Saccharomyces cerevisiae S288C: one gene and its partners. Changing the gene in region 4 together with the main gene of any one other region gives a genetic interaction. Each region holds a gene or a part of one and is shown on either strand. Other genes may lie near its edges.

Region 1 (5,262 bases), on a different chromosome or scaffold from region 4:
TTACGAACTAAGAACCAAATCCAAGGAACAATTGGCTTCTCAATTGGTTGACTTGAAAAAGGAGTTGGCTGAATTGAAGGTCCAAAAGTTGTCCAGACCATCTTTGCCAAAGATCAAGACCGTCAGAAAGAGTATCGCCTGTGTCTTGACCGTCATCAACGAACAACAAAGAGAAGCTGTTAGACAATTATACAAGGGTAAGAAGTACCAACCAAAGGACTTGAGAGCCAAGAAGACCAGAGCTTTGAGAAGAGCTTTGACCAAATTCGAAGCTTCCCAAGTTACCGAAAAGCAAAGAAAGAAGCAAATCGCTTTCCCACAAAGAAAGTACGCTATTAAGGCTTAATTGGAAGTTCAATTATATACTATCATTATCTATAGTTCCAACTTTTCTACGTTTTTCTAGCACCTTTTAAATAATTGTTAAATTAAAACATTTTCATCGAAAATCTTCAAAATATAAGACACATTGAGCGATGAAATAAGCCTTATTTGATTAGGGTCAATTTTGCAATTTATTCTATCACTTATTCATTCACTCGCTTGCTTTATGTTTTGCTTCTTCCTTTTTTTGTTTTTTGAAACAAAGAATCTTTTGCCTTAACTCTTCATTAGGTGTTACATCCTCTAGTTTTAAAGGCATTCTATTAAACGGGTCAGTAGAGTCACTAAGCAGATGTGCTTTGATCGTGCTTCTATCAATATTCATCTTGGATGCTGGTAAAATGACAGGATCCTTCATAATTGTGTACATCAAAGGATCTAAGAACTCGTCAGGAACATCACCATACTCAAGATCTTCCTCTTCATCAGCCTTTCTTTGCTCTTCGGCTTTATTGGCAAAGTTCAATAGTTTTTCGATGAACTCTGGAGATGCTAAACCAGTTTTTCTACCAAGAATATCAACTGCGCGAACAAAGAGATTTCTATTAAATGATCTTTCATCTTTAGCGACAGCACTGATGAACTCTGATTGCTCGGAAAGATTGATATAAACAGTTGTTAAGGCTTTCAACAAATCTTTTGGGTTGAATGAATAACTTTGTGGGTCTTTCACTTTTAGTTCCCCGCATTTGGGACCGACAAGTGACTCTAAGTTATAGTTTAGCATACTTGCCAGTCTATATACGATTTCTGGTGTGACAAATGCAGCCGGTATATCCTTCGAATAGATTTCGAACAGTTTCATCGATTTATCGGCCAATCCACACGAGGACTTAGCTTGCCTGGAAGCAGACGCCAATCTTGTTTGTAGTTCTTTGTCCTCTTCCTCTCTTGTTGGTGGCGCGCCCCTTGCACGATTATCCAGCTCATTTTGGATATTATGCACCTCAGCCAAATTACTTAGGCCTTCATCCAACAGGAAAGTCAAGTCATTCAACATACGAGCAACGAACCTCACAAAAAAGTCAGCATTGTTTTGAGACTGCCAGATCAATTGGTTTTTATAAGATGGTATCTTGTAATAAAGCTCCTCCAAAATTATTGATATGCTATATCTGCTGTTGAATTTATCGTAAAATTGTGAAGAAGAGCCTGTTTTTTCAACAATAACATAAAAGTCTAGTAGAGCATATAACAGATTCTTGTTAACTAATTCGTCGTGTTCGAATATATCCATCATGAATCCGGGGGAATTGTCTGTTAGAGGCATAGCACCAACGCTTAATAACTGCACTAATTTACCTTTTAAATGTGGGTTGGAAACCAATTCAGGACAACGGAGGACCATTGTTGTAAACTCAACAAACGATCCCAGACGTGGATTTCTGAAGATTGGAGAGGTCTGGTACTTCGAAATGTATAGAGAATAGTTAACTGGACCTTCTACAACAAATTCTGGATAGTATTTAAAAGGCACTGGAGCATGCGCTCTCAAAAAATCAGCGTTGTCCACGTTTTCAACACCTATTTGGTCCGGAATTAATGGCAATTTAATTTGTTTAAACGGAAATTCGTGTTCAGGATCCACAACACGAATCAAGAACGTAGATGCACCACAAATAAAGTCGAAAACCTCTAGTTGAAGAGATCTATGAGCGAAGAACCCTTGAAGAGCAAATCGCAAAGATTCTGTTGTTTTCAACGCCTTCTCCATCTTGGATAATTGTGCTGTAATGAATCTGGCAAAGACATCGTGGTTCGCAGCTATTTTCTTTACTTTTTCAATTTCTTCCTTTAACGCTTTGATTTCAGATCCCATCTTCTCTTCAAATGATAATGTACCTCCCAGACCATAATGCAAATAGGTTAATGTCAAGAAAAAGCAATCAGAGATGAAGTTTGGCTTAGAATCTGCTGTTTTTCTGTTCTTGTCATAAAATGCATCTGCCTCTTTAAAATCAGAATTTAATCGTGTTTCCCCTGATAAATCAATAAATAAACTTGGGTTGTTGAAGTAATTTGCGTCGATCTTGTCGATTTTCTTATATGAAATATCTAGAAATGGTTGAGAAAATCTAACCAATAACAAAGTGATATTGGACATAAATCCGTTAGAGGATAGTTCTTTGAATGGTGGATGATCGGCTCTACGTAAATGGTTTTTATTAGCGATATGGGCAAAATAACTAATCATATCAGTCCTTGAGTTTAAGGAGCCACGAACAAGCTTATCGACAATAAAAAAGAGTCTATCTATGACAACTTTATGCTCAGCTTGTAGAGATTCATGGATCATGGCTGTCTGTTGTTTGGAACGCAAAAGGTTATCGCCGTAGTTCCGGATTGCCACAGCAGCTTCTATGGGAGAAAGAGATAAAATAGGCCCCAATATCGTTTTCCTTTCAAAATCCTGTGGTTTACAGCTATAGTCTGCAAAAAAACCATCTATTTTAGTGAATATTTCTGCAATAGGTTTAAATGTAACAAATAACTCAAAAATGGTAAGAACGTTATTGTAAATTACAGATTCGTTCAAATCAAAATGGCTGACATGTTTATTACAGTATTCTAATAATGTCGGGAAAACAGCGTTAAGTAAATCCAAAGCGGTACCTTCTAATATGGCTCTTTGAATGATTTGGGAAAGGAAATCAGTATATGAGTTAACGTTAGAAACAATTCCAGTGATATAATTGATGAAAGCACCATTCATGCAAAAGTTTTCTATTTGTAAGGCAACGACACCATAGCCAATGACAAGACGATCAATCTCTTGGAAAGTGGAATGTAATGACTCAGCATTTGGCTTGTTTTTGGTGATTCTTTTTTGTTGCTGATTACGGCGAAAGCAATCGTTCAAATATTCAAACGGTTTATCCAACTTCTCATTCTCGGTGAGTTGATATAATAGTAGCGTATCAATAAAATCAACTCCAAGAGTTGAGCCTTGAGGCACTTCCTCGGACTTCAATAGAGAGTAGCCACGGGTATCGGAAGGATCGGTGGTGATTTGTAAAATATCTTCTATGGCGGTCATGATCTATGGAATGAGGGTTCTACTTTCAAAGTTAACTTTTCCCCTTAAACAACTTGTGGTCAACTTTACCTTTCTATTGGCTGACACAATTCTCAAAGATATAATTAACGTTTACTGTGGCAACAGCAAGTGGTTGAGTCTAAAAATGTGAATAAAATGGCAATTACTTAATGATTAACAATGATTGCGGCGTACACCTCTATTATTTTGTTGCCAATGGTTAGAATCTACCTTTGATCTTCAATTCACCTTTTGTAATAAAGACAGACTATCGCCTCTGACGAATACTGACAAAATAGCGTCCTCGACGAAAGGATGAATCGTTAAGCGCAAAATAATATTGATATAATAAGAATATCGATTAAGAAGCGTTGGCTAGTGTCATATGCGGGTTAGCCTATCTGTTTCTTCTTTCTTTCACATACAACTCGACAAGTTTTGGCGTAGGCAATTGAGCCATATTGTACCAGCAAGCCGTGGTGACAGTATGTTGAAACGTGCATCTTATAATGGGCGCACGATTTATTTTATTTTAATTAATTTTTTAGTTATTTCGTATCGTACTAACAACTAAGATATTCAAGTCTCTTCAAGTATATAAGGAGTTAGGGCAGAAGTAGGTGATGACAGCACTAGATTCTCGAAACTGGGGATTGACACCCGCTATGGAAACGGGCTTGTTCCAGAAACCACAGGACCGTATCTTTATAATAGAGCTGGAAAATTCCATAGTGTCATTCATAAACTCAAACACAGAATCATTTCAGCTAAGACCGATGAATTCATATTATAGGCTTCTATCGCACCAAATAGCTGAGTACCACAACTTGAACCATGTTTTGGCAAGAACTCAAGATAGTTGTGTGATTCTTTTCAAAGGTGAGAATTTCCAAAAGATTGAAGGAAAGCCACTCTTACAAGAGTTGCAGCTGAACAAAAAACCGGAAGAGTGTGCTTCCTCAAGTGAGAGTATTGAAAAATCGAACAATAACAGAATATTTCGAATCTTAAAGCGGAAAGAGGTAGGTAACGAGTGCGATTATAAAATCGATGGCAATACACGTACACCAAATAGCAATTTGACAGCCAATTCAAATAAGGACCAAAAAATCGAAATCGATGATAAATCTAGTACTGATTTGGAACAAGAAAGAATTGAGAAGGAAAGACTTTATGAACAACGTAAACAAGAAATTTTTGATAAGCTCAACAAGAGTGAAGACGATGTAAAGTCAACCAACAGTAGCGGTAGTAGTGATAGTGACAATGAATGGAGTGATTGGTTGAACGGAGATGACTCTAACACACAAACTAGTAACGGTTCAGTTAGCTCTTCATCACCATTCAATTCATCTGTGACGACGATACAAGTAAACAAACCTCAACAACAATTTTATGATAGTCGAAGAGGAAGAGGAGGAAGAAGAAGAGGAACAAACAATTACAAAGATGCCTATAGAGGCCAAAGTCGTCGGAATAAAGAAAACGGCGGTTACCAATCGGGATATTCTTCGCCATATCTTGTGTATCCTCCTCCCCAAATGGGTGGCAATAGTCTGCCAACCTACCCTCTAATGTATAACCCCGCTGGTCCTGCCCCCGGTCCTGCACCTTCACCCATGGTAATGGGCAATAACACAGTCTTCATGAACCCTTACATGTACAATATGAATCCCCAAGGGTCCTGTTCGTTTGGCACCCCAATCCCTATGTATCCCCCATACCAATATCAATATCAATACCAATATAACACTCAGTATCACAGCGGGCCATATAGCAATACACCAAGCTATAATTCTAACAATTACACAAGATCCTCAGCAAATAAGTACCACCATTTT
Region 2 (7,767 bases), on a different chromosome or scaffold from region 4:
TTCTCGGAGACCACATAAAATTGTTAACACCGTAGTCCATTCTAGGTGTCGCAATAGGTTCTCTTTCTAAAATTCCTGGAGCAGGTTCCAGATTTACGTTTATATTCGAAATGTGAGACGATACTGTGGGATCTTTAACATCCCATTCGGGTTCAATGGTACGTTTCATCCTGCAATGAAATTTCCATCTTGTTACCACCATCTCCAATACATCGAAGTTTCTTTGATTTTCTAAGTACTTGTCCACTTTACCCAGGATATATAGATGATGGACATATTGATCAATACCTAGACATTCCCTTGCAGAATAAGCTGTATAGAGAGGTATTTGTAATAACAAATCCGAGAATCTGATACATCCATTATAAGCATTCGTATAGTGAATGCTTTGTACAAATCTTCTGTACTGTAACTTCCTCTGTATGATCTTTGCTTTATCAATCGTATTCAGCTCTTTGTTCAGTCCGATCAGGTCTATTTTGACGTCATATGGATCATCTGGGTTAACCTCCATGTAGTTCTCGACTAGACTTTTTATTGTCAATCTACCTTCCCAAATTTTAAATGAAAGAGGACCGTCAAATGAATGCATTATTCTTGGGAGGTAGGACAGCTCAAGCTCGCCAGTTCCATCAGTATCAAATTTGGACCAAGCTTCAATGTATTTTTTTATCTCCGATCTGTTGATGCCAGAGCGAGATCCACCGCTACGGTAAACATAACTGAAATTACCAATAATCAACGAAACAAACATATTCACAAAAATATACATGGAAATAATATTCCACGACATTAATAACAAATAGGCATATGTCTCTGATCCACAGTCCGTATAGGTTGAATTATCATCAGAGGAGCAATAAGGTTCTGACACAGTTAGGTCGGCCATGATATAATTCCAGCCCTCACCAAAACTACATCTAAACAGAACAATCATGGATTTGATTACAGTTCTAAAATTTATGTTATCGGTCGTATTACTCCCTAACCTTGTTAGGCCGAAGATTTGATTCAAAGCAATAGCATATACTAAAAATAAAACCCCCCAAGTGTAGGTCAATGATAGAATAGGCGGTAAGCTTGCCATTGCGGTTTCTAATAGTTCAGTTAGTGTGTCATTTTGAGGAATAATAAACAAAAATATCACTAACAGGAAAAACCCCTTTATATTGTGGAACCAATAGTGAGAGGCTGGAACGTGGAATGCTACAGCGTTCATAATAAAGGCTATAATTATGATACTGAGTCGTATGCTGTTCCATTTTTGCCTAAAATATAATCTTGGTCCTTCACCGCACATGTGAAGTGCCTCTTGAATTAAAAAAACACTAGTGGAAAACATAAAATAAACACCTTGATAACCTATCAAGTTTCCTGGATTGTAGCTTCGACTCAGGAGCATGATTATGTGCAAATAAAGTACTACCTGAAGAAACGATGCGTAGTAGAAATTTTTTTTCTCCACTGCAAGTTGATAGAAAAATTGCCTAACTCTTGATAACTCAATTAAATTTGGGATAGCTTTTGGCTTGGCCTGAGATAAAAGTTTCTGGGATTCCAGCCACGCCTTTTCCTCAATGGTAAAGTAAGCGCTTCCTGTTGTCCTTGCTTGGTTGTTAACAATGAATGAAACAAACAAGTTCAGGATGAAAACCATACTTAAAAAATTAAACAGAACGAGGAATAAAGCATTCCCTGCTGAACCCATTACCGTAGCGGGTGTACCTATTCCTGAACTATTCATCATATTTTCCAACAAATCAACCCATCCTTCCAAAGAAATGATTTGGTATAATGAACTAAAAGCGCTTGCGAAAGAGTCCAAATGAAGATATGGTTGCTGGTAAACCCTTGGAGACATGATATCCCATTGAAAAACGGAATTTGAATATTCATTGTAACAATCTGCACGGCCCAAACTTCCGTCATTGCAAGTACCTAAACGGCCTTTAAAAATGCTTAAGCCCCAAACTGTAAATGGAAATAGCAAACTGAGTGAAATCAACCCAGCTTCAAAAATTTTATTTAAACCATCAAACATAACTAGGTTAAATGTTTGACGAGCTGTGTTACTGATCGTGAGGCATCTGAGGGCCCTCAGGGCTGTCAATCCCTTGAAAATCCTAGACAAATTTCCATTGTTTTTTAGGTATGCAATTAAATTAATCCACATTGAGATTAGGACACAAAAATCAATAAAGTTCCATGGATTCCTCAGGTAAGCATTTGGAGAATATATAAATCCGTCAGCTACTGTTTTCACGATAAATTCAATTGAGAAGGCACCAATGAAGGCGCAATCTAACGCCGAGGACCAATTCCAAGTTCCCATCTTGTGATGCATACGATATAGAGGCGTAACATAACATGAGCAAACAATTAGTAAAATGGTGGCAAGTGCGAAAATGAATACAAATACATCTCTTTCAATATGATGAAAATAGCTCCTTTTATTGTATAGATCAGTGCTATCCTCGAAAAATCGTGATCCATCAGTCCTTTTTCCAGTGCTTGGTGGTACCAAGCGTTGACAGAACCTTCGAAATCTATGCTGAGGAGAAAAGAAATAATATGAGTAATTGAATAAAGGGTACTTTTTTAAATAATCTAGCTTCTCATCCTCGTACTCATTCAACTCCAAGATATACGTCCTCCCATTTATATCGTTCGTTTCTGTAAACACAACGTCACTATTTTTATAAAATGGATTATTAGCAAACATTCTCAGCCTTTTTAGTGACGGAACCCCAATTGTGAGCTTTGATAAGCCCTTTTTAAATAGGTTTTCTGAAGGTGGCTCTTTGAATTCATCGGCCAACTCCCCCATATTCTGCGCTATGTTCATTATCGCGGTTCCTCTCATAAGAAATTGCTTAAAATCTCTTGTATCTTCGTTCCTATGACCTCCAAAGAATTTTTTACGAATTCTCGCAACCAAACTAGCGTGTGTATATTCTTGTATTTTCTGAGGATAGACGAACTTAAGATAATGCTTAATTTGCTGTGGTCGTTTTTCTTCTTCTTTCACTTCCATGCTTTCTGATATTAGGGCAATGAAAATGTTCAAGATCACTGAGTTGGATAGTAGAAACCATATAATAAAAAATACTGAGCAAAAAAAAGTTGAGGAGATGTTTGGTGAGTGTTTTTGGAGGGCATATAGGATATCCGTCCAATTTTCAGTTGAACCTATTATAAACAAAGAAAGAAATGAATTCGGTAGTGAATACATTCCAAATGGCTGGTCTGCCATTTCTTCTGGAGGAATCACGCCTTCGAAATACACAGCCATGATTATAGCAACCAAAAAGGTGAAAAAAAAGTAAAAAGACGATAAGTTCCAAATCATAACACCATTACTCAATATTTGTTTCCATAGTTTTTTTGTTAAATTGAAAGAAATAATCACCCTGTAAAATCTGGATATGTGGAATATGGATAGCCAGGCATACATATGTCCTAGAACCCCTTCAACAGCCAGGCAACTAATAACCAGAGTAATAATTGATATAATAAAATCGTAAACGTAACTAGGTTTTGTTAAAAACTTCCACATATTGGGCAGATATAATACTAACCTTGCCAGTGATTCGATGAAGAGAACAATCGAAATTCCCCTGTCAGTTTTTAGAAGGATATTGTTACAGTTTGCCGAAGTCGATACTTTAACAGAGGCGCGCATACCTATATCGCAAATAATAAGTATGACAAAGATAAACTCAACGTGGGAATAAATAGCTAGTCCTTTTTGGGACCAATTTGGGAATTTTGTCTGATTCGCCTTAAGCTTAAAATATTTCCAGTAGCCTGTTACTATGCGAGCAACATAACCTGTCTTTCTAGAACCATATATGAACTTTTTCTTTTTGTACTCCTCATTGGCTATTTCAAAAGATGATACCAACACTGCAATGAGTAGATTTAGCAGCCAGATAGTTAAAACAAAGATGCAAACAATAAAAAACAAACAGGCAGCCATTTCATCCGAATCCATCGTATAGTACATTAAGTCAGTAAAAGTATTCGCACTCATAATGACAAAAACGAGCTCCATGGAATTAACAATATTATCAAAACTAATTCTGCCGTTGTAGGGGTTGGCATTGGAAACACATTTCGAATATTGTGGGCAAAGAAAGCCTTTTGAAACAGAACCTTCTGATCCGTCTTCATAGATATAATTTTGTTTTCGTTTTGTTACTGGATCTAGGTAACCACCACAGAATTGCATATCGTACTGGTAAGTATCGGTAGGATCTTCAGGGTTAAACCATACACATTGTCTTCGAAAAGAGCCCTGAAAAATCTGTACTCCCAAAATCCCAAAGAAAATCCAAAAGTAAACTAGCATTGAACTAACATTTACCAACTGTGGGATACCATATTTCAATCCCCTTAGAATTGAGGGCATACCAGTATCCACGTTTACAAGTCGAAGAATCCTTAATATAGCAAGGGGCTTGAATATTCTTATGCCTGTTTTTGTATCATAACTTTTTATGGATAAAAACATACCTAGCCAAAAACTGACAGAAGATACCAGATCTATTCTATTCCACGATGATCTCGCAAAGGCTCTTGGGGTGCCAAAAGGCCTCTGATTTTCCTTTGCCCCATAAGGTTTCGTCAGGGAAGTACTCAACGAACTTCGTTGATATTTTGTCTCTTCTCCCGGCGATATGATCCTAAATGGAATAATGAAATCTATTAGCTTTCTACCATACTTTTCTCTCAGATATATGTATAGTTTCATAATTCCAGATCTCTGTAAGATTGATTTATACTCACGTCCATAGGCTTTAAACATTTCAGAATCGTCCCAAAATCCAAACGCAATTATTTTAGCAATATCATTGCCTGTAAAGCAAGCTGATAAAATAAAAATGAAATAGTCGGTCCAGTTAGAGAAACGGTATAAAAAAACCACATTGTGAGGGTTATATGTCCTTATCGCCAGGAGAATGGCATAAAATGTTAACAAAGTGTTGTAAAGTAACGAATACCGCCTATGCAACAAAAAACGAGCAATTTTTATTCTTAGCGGATTCGTAGGCGAGAAAACCCCAAGAGAATGTCCATAAAGCACAAAGGGCCTTGATTCCAGTTTTCTTTGAAGGGTTTCAAAATCTAGAATGTCTTCAGCATACTCAATAACTTCTGTTTGGTCTTTATCTTCTTTTTGCGGTGATAAATGATGAAAAAACTTTGGACTGGGTTTCTTTCTTGAATTATTAATAGAGCCTTCTAGACCCTCAGATACCGAACCATTCTGCGCGGGTTCGGGTGTTAGATGAATTGATCCTGGAGTAGCGCTTGCTCCTACATTGGGTGTATGAACGTCAGGTATAGATTCTTGTTCTCCTTCTCCTCTATCTTCTCCAACGTCTGATACAGGACGGCTTTTTTCTGATTTTAATTGGGGTAGCCATGTCAGGCCCTCTTCGTCTATTGCACTTTTAAATCCCTTTTGCAAATCTTCAAAATCATCCATATCATCAGCGGCAATTAGCGATAAAACCTTTGCCGACCGTGGAGGCCTATCCGTTGAGCTTGGTGAATTAGAAACACGCCTACTAGATGATCGGCTATAACTACTGAAGCTACGCCTGCGTAGCCTTTCATCATTTAAATCAATATACTGCGAACTAGACTTGGCAGATTTTGTAGAGGGTGAAACATTACGCCGGGAAGATTCAGCGGCACCAAATGATGCTGTTTTAAGTGAGAGTTTAGGCCTGCTCAAGTTTTCATGACTACTCCTTCCGACACGAGTACGAAATATGTTGGAGATTAAGGAGCTATCTTTATCATTTCCATTGTACTCGTCACCTTTTTTTTCTTCAGTACTGTGGATGCTGCTCTCTGGTGGCACGATATTTAAAGCTGGTGGGACCAAAGCTTGTGGTTTTGATTCTAGACGGTTACCATCTGTTTCGCTGTTATCCTCAACATTTTCCGTCATTACTGCTGCATTGTCCCCAAATGGATTGGTATTTGGCTCAAATGGTTCCGTAAGCGTCCTTTTTCTCCCCTGCATAGTACTAACAATATATTCTATTTAGTAATGCCGTGTATTTTGATTTTCCTTATGTTAGCTTGTCACCAACCATTGATTCATGATCTTCTATCTCATCTATATTTATTTTCAGTGAGAATGCCGAAATGTAGAATATGAAAAAAACCTACCAGAACATAATACCAAAAAGAATGAAAATTCCTCTGTGAACAGGAACCTTCGAATTCAGGGGCGGTTTTATACAGTTAAATGACATGCCAAATTACATTTTCTGGCCATACGAATCCTTGTTCGAGAATTCCGCAGCTCAAGGACCTCAGGTAGCTTTGGCAATTTCATTTGAGAAGACGCATTTTGTTGTCTTAGGTGTTTGCGAACCTCAGTATTTAGAAGAAGTAAGCATACGGCCCCCTTATTCAGTGGTAGCTACTAAGAACAATGGAGCGGAGGGTTGGAACTACAAAGTTGCTGATCCCTGTAATGTCCATTTTAGAATACCCAAGCTGAAATTTATGCAATTCTATTCTTCTGATCCCATCTCGCTCATCATACCAGAAAAAGAAGTTGGTCTTCATAGTAGTGTGGGTGAAACTCTGAACTATTCTAAATTAGAGCAACATCCAAGATACAAGAGAGATAATAAGAAATTGAGTGAAACTTTGAACATCATTAATCTATTCCCCGCATATTGTAAAGCATTAAATGAGCTTTACCCGTTTATTCAAACATCACAGGAAAATTTGAGGGGTACTATGCTTAATAGTGTCGCAGCTTGGTGTTCATCTACTTGTATTTATAAAATGGTCGCAAAAATTGGTTTTTATTTGACTTTTGTGATCTGCTCTATTGCTAGTCTCGTATCCTCGTTATTAAATTATTCGCACTTTCAGTTGGTAAATTACTCGGCATTTGTCCAGCAAATCGATCTTCGTTGTCAACAAATTTGCTATTTCCCAGTACAGTATGAGCGTATTAATAAGAAGGATAACATACAGAATGTTGGCTCTATGGTGGAAAAAGATAATTCTAATAGTCAATTCTCACATTCATATATGCCTTCTAAATTCTATCCCGATTATATTTTATTGTATAATACAATTTGGCTTATTATTAATGACATTTCATTTGGTTTAATATTGGGGGCCATACTTATTGAGAATCGAGATTTCTTGGTGTCGGCATCCCATAGAGTATTGAAGTTTTTTTTATATGATTCATTAAAAACAATAACTGAAACGTTAGCAAATAACCCCCTTGGCATCAAATTAAATGCAGAACTTGCGAACTTTTTGAGCGAATTATTTCTTTGGGTGATAGAATTTTCTTATACCACATTCATAAAAAGACTCATTGATCCGAAAACCCTATCATCTTTGCTCACGTTAACGATATATATGATGTTTCTCGTTGGCTTTTCTTTTGCTGTTTCCCTAGCGATTGATTTTTTTGCAATTTTAAGTTTTCCAATATATGTTTTTTATCGTATCAGCAGTAAACTGTACCATTGTCAGTTGAATATTATGGCTAGTCTTTTTAACCTGTTCTGCGGTAAAAAGAGGAACGTTTTACGAAATAGGATTGACCATAACTATTTTCAACTAGATCAATTGCTATTGGGAACATTATTATTTATTATTCTAGTGTTCTTGACTCCCACAGTGATGGCATTCTATATGTCATACACAGTTTTGAGAATGCTAACAATAACTATCGAAATATTCTCGGAAGCTGTCATTGCACTCATTAACCAT
Region 3 (6,362 bases), on a different chromosome or scaffold from region 4:
GGGTTTTGGTTTGGTCCAGTTGTTTTCAAGTAGCCTTTATTTTTTCATTGTGGTATTTTATCTTATCGATTTATACTTTTTTTTATTCAAAGAAAATTAAACAGATAATCTCTTATGAGCCTAGCTACTTTGTTTTTTCTTACAGGGCCATTGACTTATGCCCTGAACGAGTCTTACTTTACTTTTTTTGTATTTTCAATAATGTCGTGTTTCCCATGTTGTAATACGCCCAAAGATTATGTGGTAGAGCTTTTTTTTTTTTTGGTTAGTGTATTTACCAAACTGGGATGATTTTCAAAACTTATGAAGCAGTTTCAATACATAACTGTCTAACGTAAAAATTTTATAAAATGGAAAAATAGATGATGATAACTATAACAATTTTAAAGTACAACATATTCTACTTTTAGAATAATTCACAATATACAAGGACGATCCTGGAAAAGGGTAAATATGATTCAGCTTCGAGGAAGAAGTACAAAAAGAAGACGAAATGGTCCATTACAGACTAAGCACTATCCAACAAAAAGTTAGTGGCGGCTTCTAGATCCCAGTTGCACTTTTCCAAGGCATTGTGCGCTTCTTCTTCAGTAAATCCCATGCCACTTAACTCCTCGACGGCTAGAGACTTTGGAGTAGTTGCAACCCCGCGGTTAACTATTGGACCTTTTGACAAGCTAGCATCAACGATAGGATCATTCTTCAATGGAATTGGTTGTTGTGGAATGCTTGGGGTAGCTACTTTGGTTGGTTCAGCTTTGGAGTTACCAAATCCAGCAAAAATCTCGTCCCACTCATCGTTGCTTACTTGAGCAGGGTCACTGGTTGACTGTTGTTGTACTTGTGGTTTTGGGATAGTTGGGTTAGAGGAACTAGTTAACGTCCCTGTAAAAGCGTTCATTTGTAGTTCGTCATCGAGATCCTTATGGTCTATGGTTTCAAATTGCTCCATCGACCCAGCATTCGCAACATTCTCAAATTCAGATTCCGAATCAGCACCATTATCTTCCTCCACAGCCGCTTGTTCTAACCCTGCGAATTCATCATCAAATTCGTCCTTAACAGGCAAAATGGAATTGGTGCTTGCCTTTTTTGAGTTACCTTCATTATGTGAAGGAGAAGTGCCTGGAGCGGGATATTTTATGACTTGTTCCGTGTGGATTTCCAAACTTGATGTGGGCTGGGCATTATAGGGAGTTTGAAGGGTCTTCACTGTTGCTGATGGAATTTCTCTGGTATCTTCAAACTCATCATCGTCTGAAGAGGATGAATCGCTTTCGTCAATATGCAATTCCTGAATTGGTGGAAACTCTTCATTTATTGTCTTTGCTTTTGGTTGAGCAGAGATTTTTGGAGATTCTTGGATAGAACTGACCGACTCACCGTCTTCATTTGAATTAGCCCTTTTTGTGGTACTTCCGTCTTCAATAACTTCTGTAGTTTCGTTGCTCAAAACATCAGTAGAAGCGGTAGCTGGGGTAGCTTCCCATTCACCAGGAATGTGAGATAAGTTTCCAGTATTATCTCTATTCGCAGTATTATTGATGGTGTCACGTTCTTCCAACGTTTCCGGTAGCTCAACATCATCTCTTACGGATTGAGGAGCATTGTTTGCAACAGACGATGTCAAGGATTGACTTCTTGGAATACCATATTCATTCAAATCACCATCAAACCTATCACTTAATGTTTCAGTTAAGTTTGGATTTGCTGTCTCATTTCCTGACTGGGTGCCGTTGTTTGTATTGGCATTTTCACTATCGCTTTGAGATCCCAAAGTTGGAACGTCTCTATCAAATACGTCACTTTCGGTTCTTTCTGTCTTTTCTTCATCGTCTTTAACCCGATTAACATTCAAGTTTGAATTCTCAACAGTAGTTTCGACAAATTTGGATACAGTGTCTTCGTGAACATTTCCTCTTGATGTGGCTTCTTTGGTTGTTGTATCTGTATTAGAGGCGCTTTTCGCAATAATGTCCTTAGCATCCTCAGGTAATTGTCCCATAGCTAAATTCATTTGTCTTTCGGATAACTCTCTCACATTGTTAGCGTATTCGATGTTTCTCTCCTTTAACTCTTGATCAGCTTTTTCAAAAGAAGCTTTTCTCTGTGATAGATCGTCGAACATTTCTTGCAATTTAGAAACGTGCTGATGGTAGAGATTTTCTTGTTCTTCAATTTGTCTGTTACGTTCTTCCAATTGTTTTTCACGGTCCGTTAAATCAGTATCCTTGTTGGACAGATCCTGGTATTTAGCTTGTAATTGTGCGTGTTGCTCCTCCACGGTCTTTTGGTAGTCATTTAACTCCTTTTGTTTAGTTAAGTAAACGCTTATCTTTTCGCCAAGACCATCGATTTCCTTCTGCAAGTTTGCTACTGTGACTTGATTCAACTCTAGCTGTTTTGAATTAACATCTACCATTGACCTTTCTTGCTTGACCTGTTGTTGTTTTTCATTTAATTGTGACTGTAAGGAGGCTGTCATCGAGTTCAAATTCGTAATTTGTTCTTTTAATTCTGCGTTCTTTGTTTGAGATTCTTGCAAATCAGTAGTTAGTTCATTGAGTTTGGACTCAGCGGCATGGTAGTTTGCTTCGGATACAGCCAACTGTTGCGCTAATGTTTCGTTTTCTTTGTTTACTTGAAGTACTTGTGCTTCCAGTTGTTCCGTTTGTTTAACATTTTGGTCATGGGTAGAACGTAAATTGTTCAATTTGATTTGAATGGAATTTTTCATCTCAGTAACACGTTTCAACTCCTGGGTCGCTCTTGACTTTTTGTCATTAGTTATACTTGCCTGCTTGGACAGGGAGTTTACTTGGTTAGATAAATTAGCCATTTCTGTGGTAGCATTAGATAACTGAGCAGAAGCTTCACCATCTGCAAATAAATCCTGGTTCTTGAATGCATTATTGGAAGATCTTGAAAAAGCGGATGCGCCTAAAGCAGCAGCACCCACTGCGGCGCCTACAGCAGCACCAGTGGCAGCGCTAGTGGCAGCGCCTGCTGGCATGCTAAACACAGAAAAGTTGGGAACTTGTGGCAGTGTTGTTGAAGCTGTACGTTTGACTGGACTTGAAGCATGTTTTGGAACTGGCGGAGGCTGAGCGCTAAAAGTATCACTGGATTCCCTTAGTTGCTCTTGTTCCTCTGGTTCTTCCTTGATTATACTTTGACCGAAGTTTGAGGTGGGAGTAAATTTCTTCAATCCAGAGGAGGAGTGAGTTAAAGGTGGAGGCTGCTGTGGCTGTTGTTGTTGTAATGTTGCTTGGCCATTGTTATTATCATATGAAAAACTATTATTTGTGTTGTTTTGAACCACAGTTTGTGCTTTAGTGGGAGAAGGAGAGCTGAATGAAGGGTTCAAAGCCAGTAAATCATTCAAAGAACCGTTATTTGAGTTTTGAGGAAGAACTTGTGGAACTGTTGGTTGAGTATTAACTGCTGGGGCAGAAACTTGGTGTGGCATATCCTGTAAAGAAGGCTTACTTGCTCTTGAGGGGATGGCAATTTGAGGTGCACTTTGTTGTTGAGGAAGTGGGTTTGGCGGATAAAGTCCTAAAGCGGGGGACTGTAATAATTCATTGGGGATAACATCCGGTAATTCGACACCAGCATTCTTTTTTTGAATTAAGAACATGGCAATAGCAAATTCCAATTTGGTGAATTCAGCATTGTTGTGGATGTCAGCTAAGTCCCAGATGGTGGCTAACGTCTCTTGGTTTAATCTAGAGGATAAGAAGAATGGAACCAACACAGCAGAGCTTAGCGAACCAGCATGTTGCTTATCTAATGAATCAAAAATTGCATCAAACTGTTGTTTTTTTTCAAAACTTAAAGACCAATCTGAAGCAGCATTACTGAATGCACCAGTAGATAGACGTGATATAGTAGAGTGTCTTGTTAGTGAAGATACGCCAGTGGAGTTAGCACTCAAAGGAGTAGTCCTGTTTGGTTGATTAACAACAACAGGTTCTAAACGAATAGAATCCCACAGCTGAGTAGGCAACACGGCCGGTGGTGTGTTCATACTAGGATGATGAGACATACATAGTTGGATCAAATACATGGCCATTATAAACTCAGATTTGTCTAAGACACCGGATGCGTCTCTATCACAAAGAGCCCAAATTTCACCTAAAGTTTGATTTGGTAATCTTGCCTTTAAAAATATATCCTTGGCTTTATCACCAGCAACAGTTTGAGCACCCTTTGCTGTCCTATCAAACAGTTGTGAAAATTTAGCAATATCATTTGAGGATAAGGCAGGAATATCAGTGTTGTTTGTATTGCCGGTTGCACTACCGCTTTGCATAGGGGCTGGGTTCTGATTTATAGAAAAAGAAGCCAGTTGAGTAGGTGTGCTCTCATATAGGGCAGCGGAAATTGGTTGGTTGGGAGCATTTTGCAATTGAGCGATCATTCTCAAAGCAGCCGAAAACTCGTTCAAGTTCAAAAACCCTTTATTGTCTATATCGACGGTAGCCCACACTTGCGATAGTAATTGCCCTGGAAGACCAGAAGACGCGAAGAGCGGTCTGACTGCCTCGCCAGTGACCACCCCGAGATCTTCCGTATCCAATTGGTGAAATTTCTGATTATAAAAGGCTTGTTCCTGAGAGGATAATGGAGTTCTAAAAGTAATAGATGCCATGGCCTATATCGTTCGAATCCTATTGAAAACACACAGATAAAAACAGGAAAAAAGATAGATCTAGAGCTTCACGAATCTATTTATTAGTTTCAACGCGCTATATTATTTCGCGAGAACCAGTAATTCTCTATTTAAAAGCACTCTATTGCCTATCACAAAGTGCTCTGTTGTGTGTTGTTTTCAATGTGCTTCTGAAAAGGGGTTTGTAATAGTTGAAGATTTTGATTATAGGAGAAATCTAATCCCCCTCCGAAGCGCCGACGGGTAATGATTGTGTAGTTTTTCATTTCGCGATCAAAAGCATGTATTTTGACACAGCTAACAATACCTATTATCATTTTTTGTTGGTGTTCTCATCGATTGTCAAAGCACAATAAAAAGCTATGAGCTCGACGATGTTGGATGATGTGGATAATAATATGATGGGTATCAAGTCTATCAGCCTTTATGAATTACTTAGCGATGTGGTGAAACAGGGCGACAAGACGCGATTGGTGACGGCGGGTCCCGAGCAAGTTTTGCCTGATTTAATCCGGCATATCACTGAAACAATACCGTTTGACCTATTTATAAACCTTAAGAATGAAATGAACGATGCGAGAAATCTCGTTACTAGATTAAATTGGCTGGGTAAGTTTCTGAATGATAATTTTTTACAAAATCATACATTTCCATTCACAATACTTCGGATATGCGAATTGTGTTATGATCCTTTCAAATATTACAAGATCAATGAATTGGAGAAGTTTGTAAATGCGCTAGAAAAATGTTGCATGGTAACTAGCAGTTGGCAGGTTTTTGATAAAACACACGGTGAGAAGCAAGAGGACGATAAGGAGAAAGATATTAACTTCATCAAGAATCAAGAAGATGTCTCACTAATGAAGATACCGTGGATGACCGAAAACAATACTAGGGAGTTGGCACCCTTTATTAGAGAAATCGACTCTATAATGAGTGTCAACCTAGGCTACGATGACGAGGATGAAGAGGAAGGATTTTTTGATGGTGATGAAGATAGGGAGATGGGGAATAAGAGTAAGCGTAATGTTTTGCTGAAAGATGAAAATTTCATGGTGGAAGAATACTATGAGGATGATTGCGGGATAAACGATGATAATAGCGATAATAAAGGACAAAATTGTCAGAGCGATGTTACGAAGAATAATAGCGATGATGAAGATGACGATGACAACGACGACGATTATCGTGAAGATGGTGCAGATGAAGATGATGAGGATGATGATCACATGGGCAGCACAGATGACGATGAAGATGATGACGAAGATAGGCAGGCGGGCGAAAGTACCAAGGTGCAAAATTTTGACAAGAAAAATGAAACTCCAAGGAAGAGGAAGCCCACAGATTTAGATAACTTTGAATATGACGAATCACCATCATTCACAAACATGGATCTCACGACGCCAAAGAAATATAAACATACCGCAACGGGCAGGTTCTCCATAATAGAGTCGCCATCGTCTTCGCTCCTCAATGCCATGGACGGCAGTAATGAGATCTCATCGAGCCAGGAGGAGGAGAAAGAGGATGCTCATGAAAACCATGAGGGTAGAAGTGAAGGACTGTTACCAGGTGACGAATTAGTGAGTCCATCGATGAGCTCTTCACAAGAGGATAAGATGGTTGCGATTGCTGGTATTACCTACCGTGAGAATATTAGCAGTCCATTAGGCAAGAAGTCCAGATG
Region 4 (3,746 bases):
TATTACTAGGTTGTTTGCCTTTGGATTCTCCTTCAAAAAGTAAATTTCCACGTTCGAGTCTGTAAGGGTTGGTTAAGAGATTGGTCACTTCTCCAACTGAATCCTGTGATGTAGTTAAAGTTTGGATAGTTCTAATGATTTGTTTTGAGTAAATTTCCGCAATAGAAACTTTCCCCTCCGTATCACCGATCAATAATAATGTACCATCCATTGATATTTCTAGGCATGACACATTTGAATTTAGGACATTCTCACAGACAAGTTGGCCCATTGCATATAGTGCATCCAAATCTTCATTTTCGCCGCCAGTTAGTGAGTTACGTTGCACTAGGGAAAAAACCCTACCTTTTTGAACTGTGTTTACTCCGGCGGACTGTAGCAGATTAACGATAGCATTACCCTTTAGTTTATAAAATAAATTCAATGAAAAACAACCTTCCGCAGTACCAATATAGCATGCTCTGTCAGCAGGATCCAGTACAATGGATTTGATAGAATAAGGAGTTGTAAATGTCGCAAGCAATACTGGGGTCTTACCAATACTAACGTCATTTTCGTTTGCCTTCTGCTTCTTTTTGCTGCCTATTAAACTCAAATCATAGCATCTAATGGTAGCATCTTGAGATACTGTGAAGAGTTTCGTATCAGTACATGATAAAAATTTTCCTTGACTAGAAGAAACTTGGAAATCTGTCACGGGTAGAGTATGATCGTGAAGGATACATAAAGGCTTAGGATCATCATTGGACGCTGATACCAAGTCAACAGTTTGCCATATAATAACTCTCGAATCGTTACCAGAAGTAATAATATACTTGCCGTTTAAAATGGACTTAATCTTGGTGATACTTTGGTAATGAGCCATAGGCTTCACGTTCAATAAAATCCCTGAATTTAACTCCCATATGTACAATTTACCCGATTCGGTGGAGCCAAGTAAAAGGTACGGAAGATTGAAGTCTGGTAAATTATGATTGACACCTTGAATTCTATCATACTGCACACCATCATTTTCAACTACTTCCAGACATTTTAGGATTTCAGGTAATGGTAAGCGCTGTTCAACAGATTCTCTTTTGAAAGAACCTGACAGATTGTAGACATTGATTAATGCTTTTTGTGCTTGAGCAATAAAAAGGTATTTATTTCCTACTTGAACACAGCTATTTCTTGATTGAGTGGAGCATTGCCTCAAATTTATCTGTTCAAATGAGTGTACAGAAGCTATTGTTCCTGAGGTATTTGTTGTAAAAATAACTTGCTCATCCATTTTATCGTCCCTTGAAAGATCCTGTTTTATGAATATTGAACAATCAATCTTAACGCATATGCCCTTGTCAGAGCCGTCCTTCGAATAAGCATATTTGGAATGGGCATCGATTTAAAATTTTCATTTAGTGGGATGTAAAAAAAAATTTTAGTTCGCGCGTACAGTTTTTCAACATTTGCCATATGATGTAGAATGGCGCTATCAAATCATCACTCTTATTACAGGTGAATCGCGCGCTAACACTTCAATTACAGACACATACTCCTGAATGGGTGCTTTCAAATCCCCTCTCCCCCAAGATCAAGTCCTATTTCAACTTCTCCTCTCAAAAACCCTCTATGTGACGCTGTGTATTCTTTGTTGTAGTTATGCTCCACGATACAGTGGCTGCTCATGAGCTTTCCTAGGAGCTCAGCACGTAAATGTATAGCGTACATGCTATAAGCGTGGCAGTTATTATAATAGTTCACACGGTATCTTACCGTATTAATTTATCAAAGTTTGCAGTTATCCATTCTGTGCCCGCGTTTCTTTTCAGTTTATAGACGCGATCGAATGTGCCTTAAAAATTTGGAAGAAGAGAGAGAAGGATGCATAAGTAATAGAACATTACGAGAAAATAGTTTACAGAAACAACTGGCTGCCCTGAAAGGCTTTTTTGGAGAGGAACAGAAACAAAGAACAAAAATTTTTAGAAAAAAAAAGAAATGCCTTTGAATATTATTGGGACGGCTCTCCTAGACGGGACTGACAAGATTCCTTACTATCAAACAATCAAAAAGGTGGCACCTTATGTGCTAGCGACTGGTGCCATTAAATATTGGTCGAGAGGGCCATCAAATACATGGGAAAGAAAGTTGCACGGTAAAGTTTACTTGGTTACTGGCGCTACCTCTCAAGGAATGGGAACATCCGTGGCTTATAAAATGGCAGAGTTAGGTGCACAATTAATCATCTTGACTAGGGAAGTAGATGAATGGGTTACTGAATGGTGCGAAGAATTACGTGAAAAGACAAAGAACGAGTTGATTTTTGTAGAAAAATGTGATTTGAGCAATTTGTGGGAGATTCGTAAGTTTGCCACAAGTTGGTTAGACAATTCGCCACCTAGAAGATTAGATGGCGTTATTGTCATGTCCGGTGATATGGAACCATGGGGTATCCCGAAAATATCTTTGCCACAGAGGAGATCATCTAAGGATGGGCTGGAATTGCAAATTGCTACAAACTATGTAGCAATTTTCCATCTTTTAAACTTATTACAGCCTAGTTTCAAGGCTCAACCGCCTGATAGAGATGTAAGAATAATTCTTGCCACCTGCTGGTTACAAGTTGTTGGTGATATTAATATAGAAGATCCGTTGTGGCAAAATGCCAAATACAAAAGCGCCTTGAAGTTTTTCGCAAGCAGCAAGCTACAATTGGGATTGAGTATGATGGAATTGCAAAGAAGACTTACCGAAGACATAAAAAACCAAAAGACGAATGGCGCTGAAAGAACAGGAAAAAATGTTACCATTACTATGGTTCAACCTGGAACTATGAGATCAAATAGCCTACGCCGCGTCATTAGTAATGGTTCGGTGGTATTGTTAATAATACTTTACTGTATTCTGTTGTACCCCATATTGTGGCTGTTTACCAAGAGTGGTCGTCGTGGTGATCAAAGTTTCTTGTACGCTTTAATGACACCGGAATTGGAGGAAGTAAACTTAAAAGACACGAAGGTTAAGTATATCTCAGACTGTTCAATTGTGAAATTTGCTCGTAAAGAATTTGATGACGAGGAATTACAGAAGAAACTATTTGATAATACGGAAAGAGATATTTTACAATTGGAAAAGAAAGTCGCGGCAAAGAGAAATGCCAATAAGACCGGGAATCAAAATTCTAAAAAGAAGAGTCAGAACAAGAGTAGAAAAGATGATTAGAAATGAGAACGTAAATATATGTGTAGATTTCTTTTTTTCTTATTTATGATATCGGTATATGTAATTATTTATTTACTTTTTCTGCCTCCTTGATATTAAAGTATTACACACTTTGACTTCTTTTTCTTCTTGTCGTTTCTCGTCTTTGGTTTAGCTTGCTTGTTGTGATGATTATTTGAGGCAATTTTACTACCTTTGCTTTTTGATTGCTCGTGAATTTTGTCTTTTTGTCCCTTTTTTGTGGGTTTGATATTGAGAGCTTCCTTCTCCTGCTGTAAGCTTCCTTTCGGAAGAGTACTATCTGTACTATTATTATGGTGTGGTTGCTGTTTTTGTTCTCGAATATTTTTATCTCCATTGGTGTTGGTTGTTGCAGTCGTTAATTCATCAGTTAGAGTATGATTTGCTGATTTTTGGTTAGGGGATTCTGGTTCGTAGATAGCGTACCTCACCGCCTGTTCAAAGACTTCCCGGACACCTGCTTGGGTAGCAGCTGAACATTCGGTATAGCCCATAAACCCACATCTTTGTACGAGTTCATCTAT

Evidence for each region.
Region 1: mutations in PBR1 (region 4) and UFD2 together harm fitness more than expected from each alone (negative genetic interaction), as found in Saccharomyces cerevisiae (3 studies listed by BioGRID).
Region 2: mutations in PBR1 (region 4) and CCH1 together harm fitness more than expected from each alone (negative genetic interaction), as found in Saccharomyces cerevisiae (2 studies listed by BioGRID).
Region 3: mutations in PBR1 (region 4) and EDE1 together harm fitness more than expected from each alone (negative genetic interaction), as found in Saccharomyces cerevisiae (3 studies listed by BioGRID).

What each region holds. Positions count from the first base shown.
Region 1 is NC_001136.10:118,172-123,433, forward strand, and holds UFD2 (ubiquitin-ubiquitin ligase UFD2), read right to left. Parts: upstream 3,422-5,262; coding exon 536-3,421; downstream 1-535. Other genes in the region: 60S ribosomal protein uL29 RPL35A, read left to right, coding at 1-346; RBS1 (Rbs1p), read left to right, coding at 4,045-5,262. UniProt on the Saccharomyces cerevisiae protein: E4 ubiquitin chain-elongation enzyme specifically involved in polyubiquitin chain assembly.
Region 2 is NC_001139.9:922,966-930,732, reverse strand, and holds the start of CCH1 (calcium channel protein CCH1), read right to left. Parts: upstream 6,038-7,767; coding exon 1-6,037. Other genes in the region: GPI1 (phosphatidylinositol N-acetylglucosaminyltransferase), read left to right, coding at 6,271-7,767. UniProt on the Saccharomyces cerevisiae protein: Voltage-gated, high-affinity calcium channel that functions together with MID1 to mediate calcium entry into cells. Required during conditions of environmental stress.
Region 3 is NC_001134.8:127,387-133,748, forward strand, and holds EDE1 (Ede1p), read right to left. Parts: upstream 4,655-6,362; coding exon 509-4,654; downstream 1-508. Other genes in the region: RRT1 (Rrt1p), read left to right, coding at 1-224; PSY4 (Psy4p), read left to right, coding at 5,038-6,362. UniProt on the Saccharomyces cerevisiae protein: Functions at the internalization step of the clathrin-mediated endocytosis (CME) as an early-acting scaffold protein. Requires clathrin adapter proteins, ENT1/2 and YAP1801/2, for normal spatiotemporal dynamics and viability.
Region 4 is NC_001146.8:296,358-300,103, forward strand, and holds PBR1 (putative oxidoreductase), read left to right. Parts: upstream 1-1,977; coding exon 1,978-3,201; downstream 3,202-3,746. Other genes in the region: chromatin-binding/pre-rRNA-processing protein IPI3, read right to left, coding at 1-1,270; Rho family GTPase RHO5, read right to left, coding at 3,297-3,746. UniProt on the Saccharomyces cerevisiae protein: May be involved in lipid metabolism.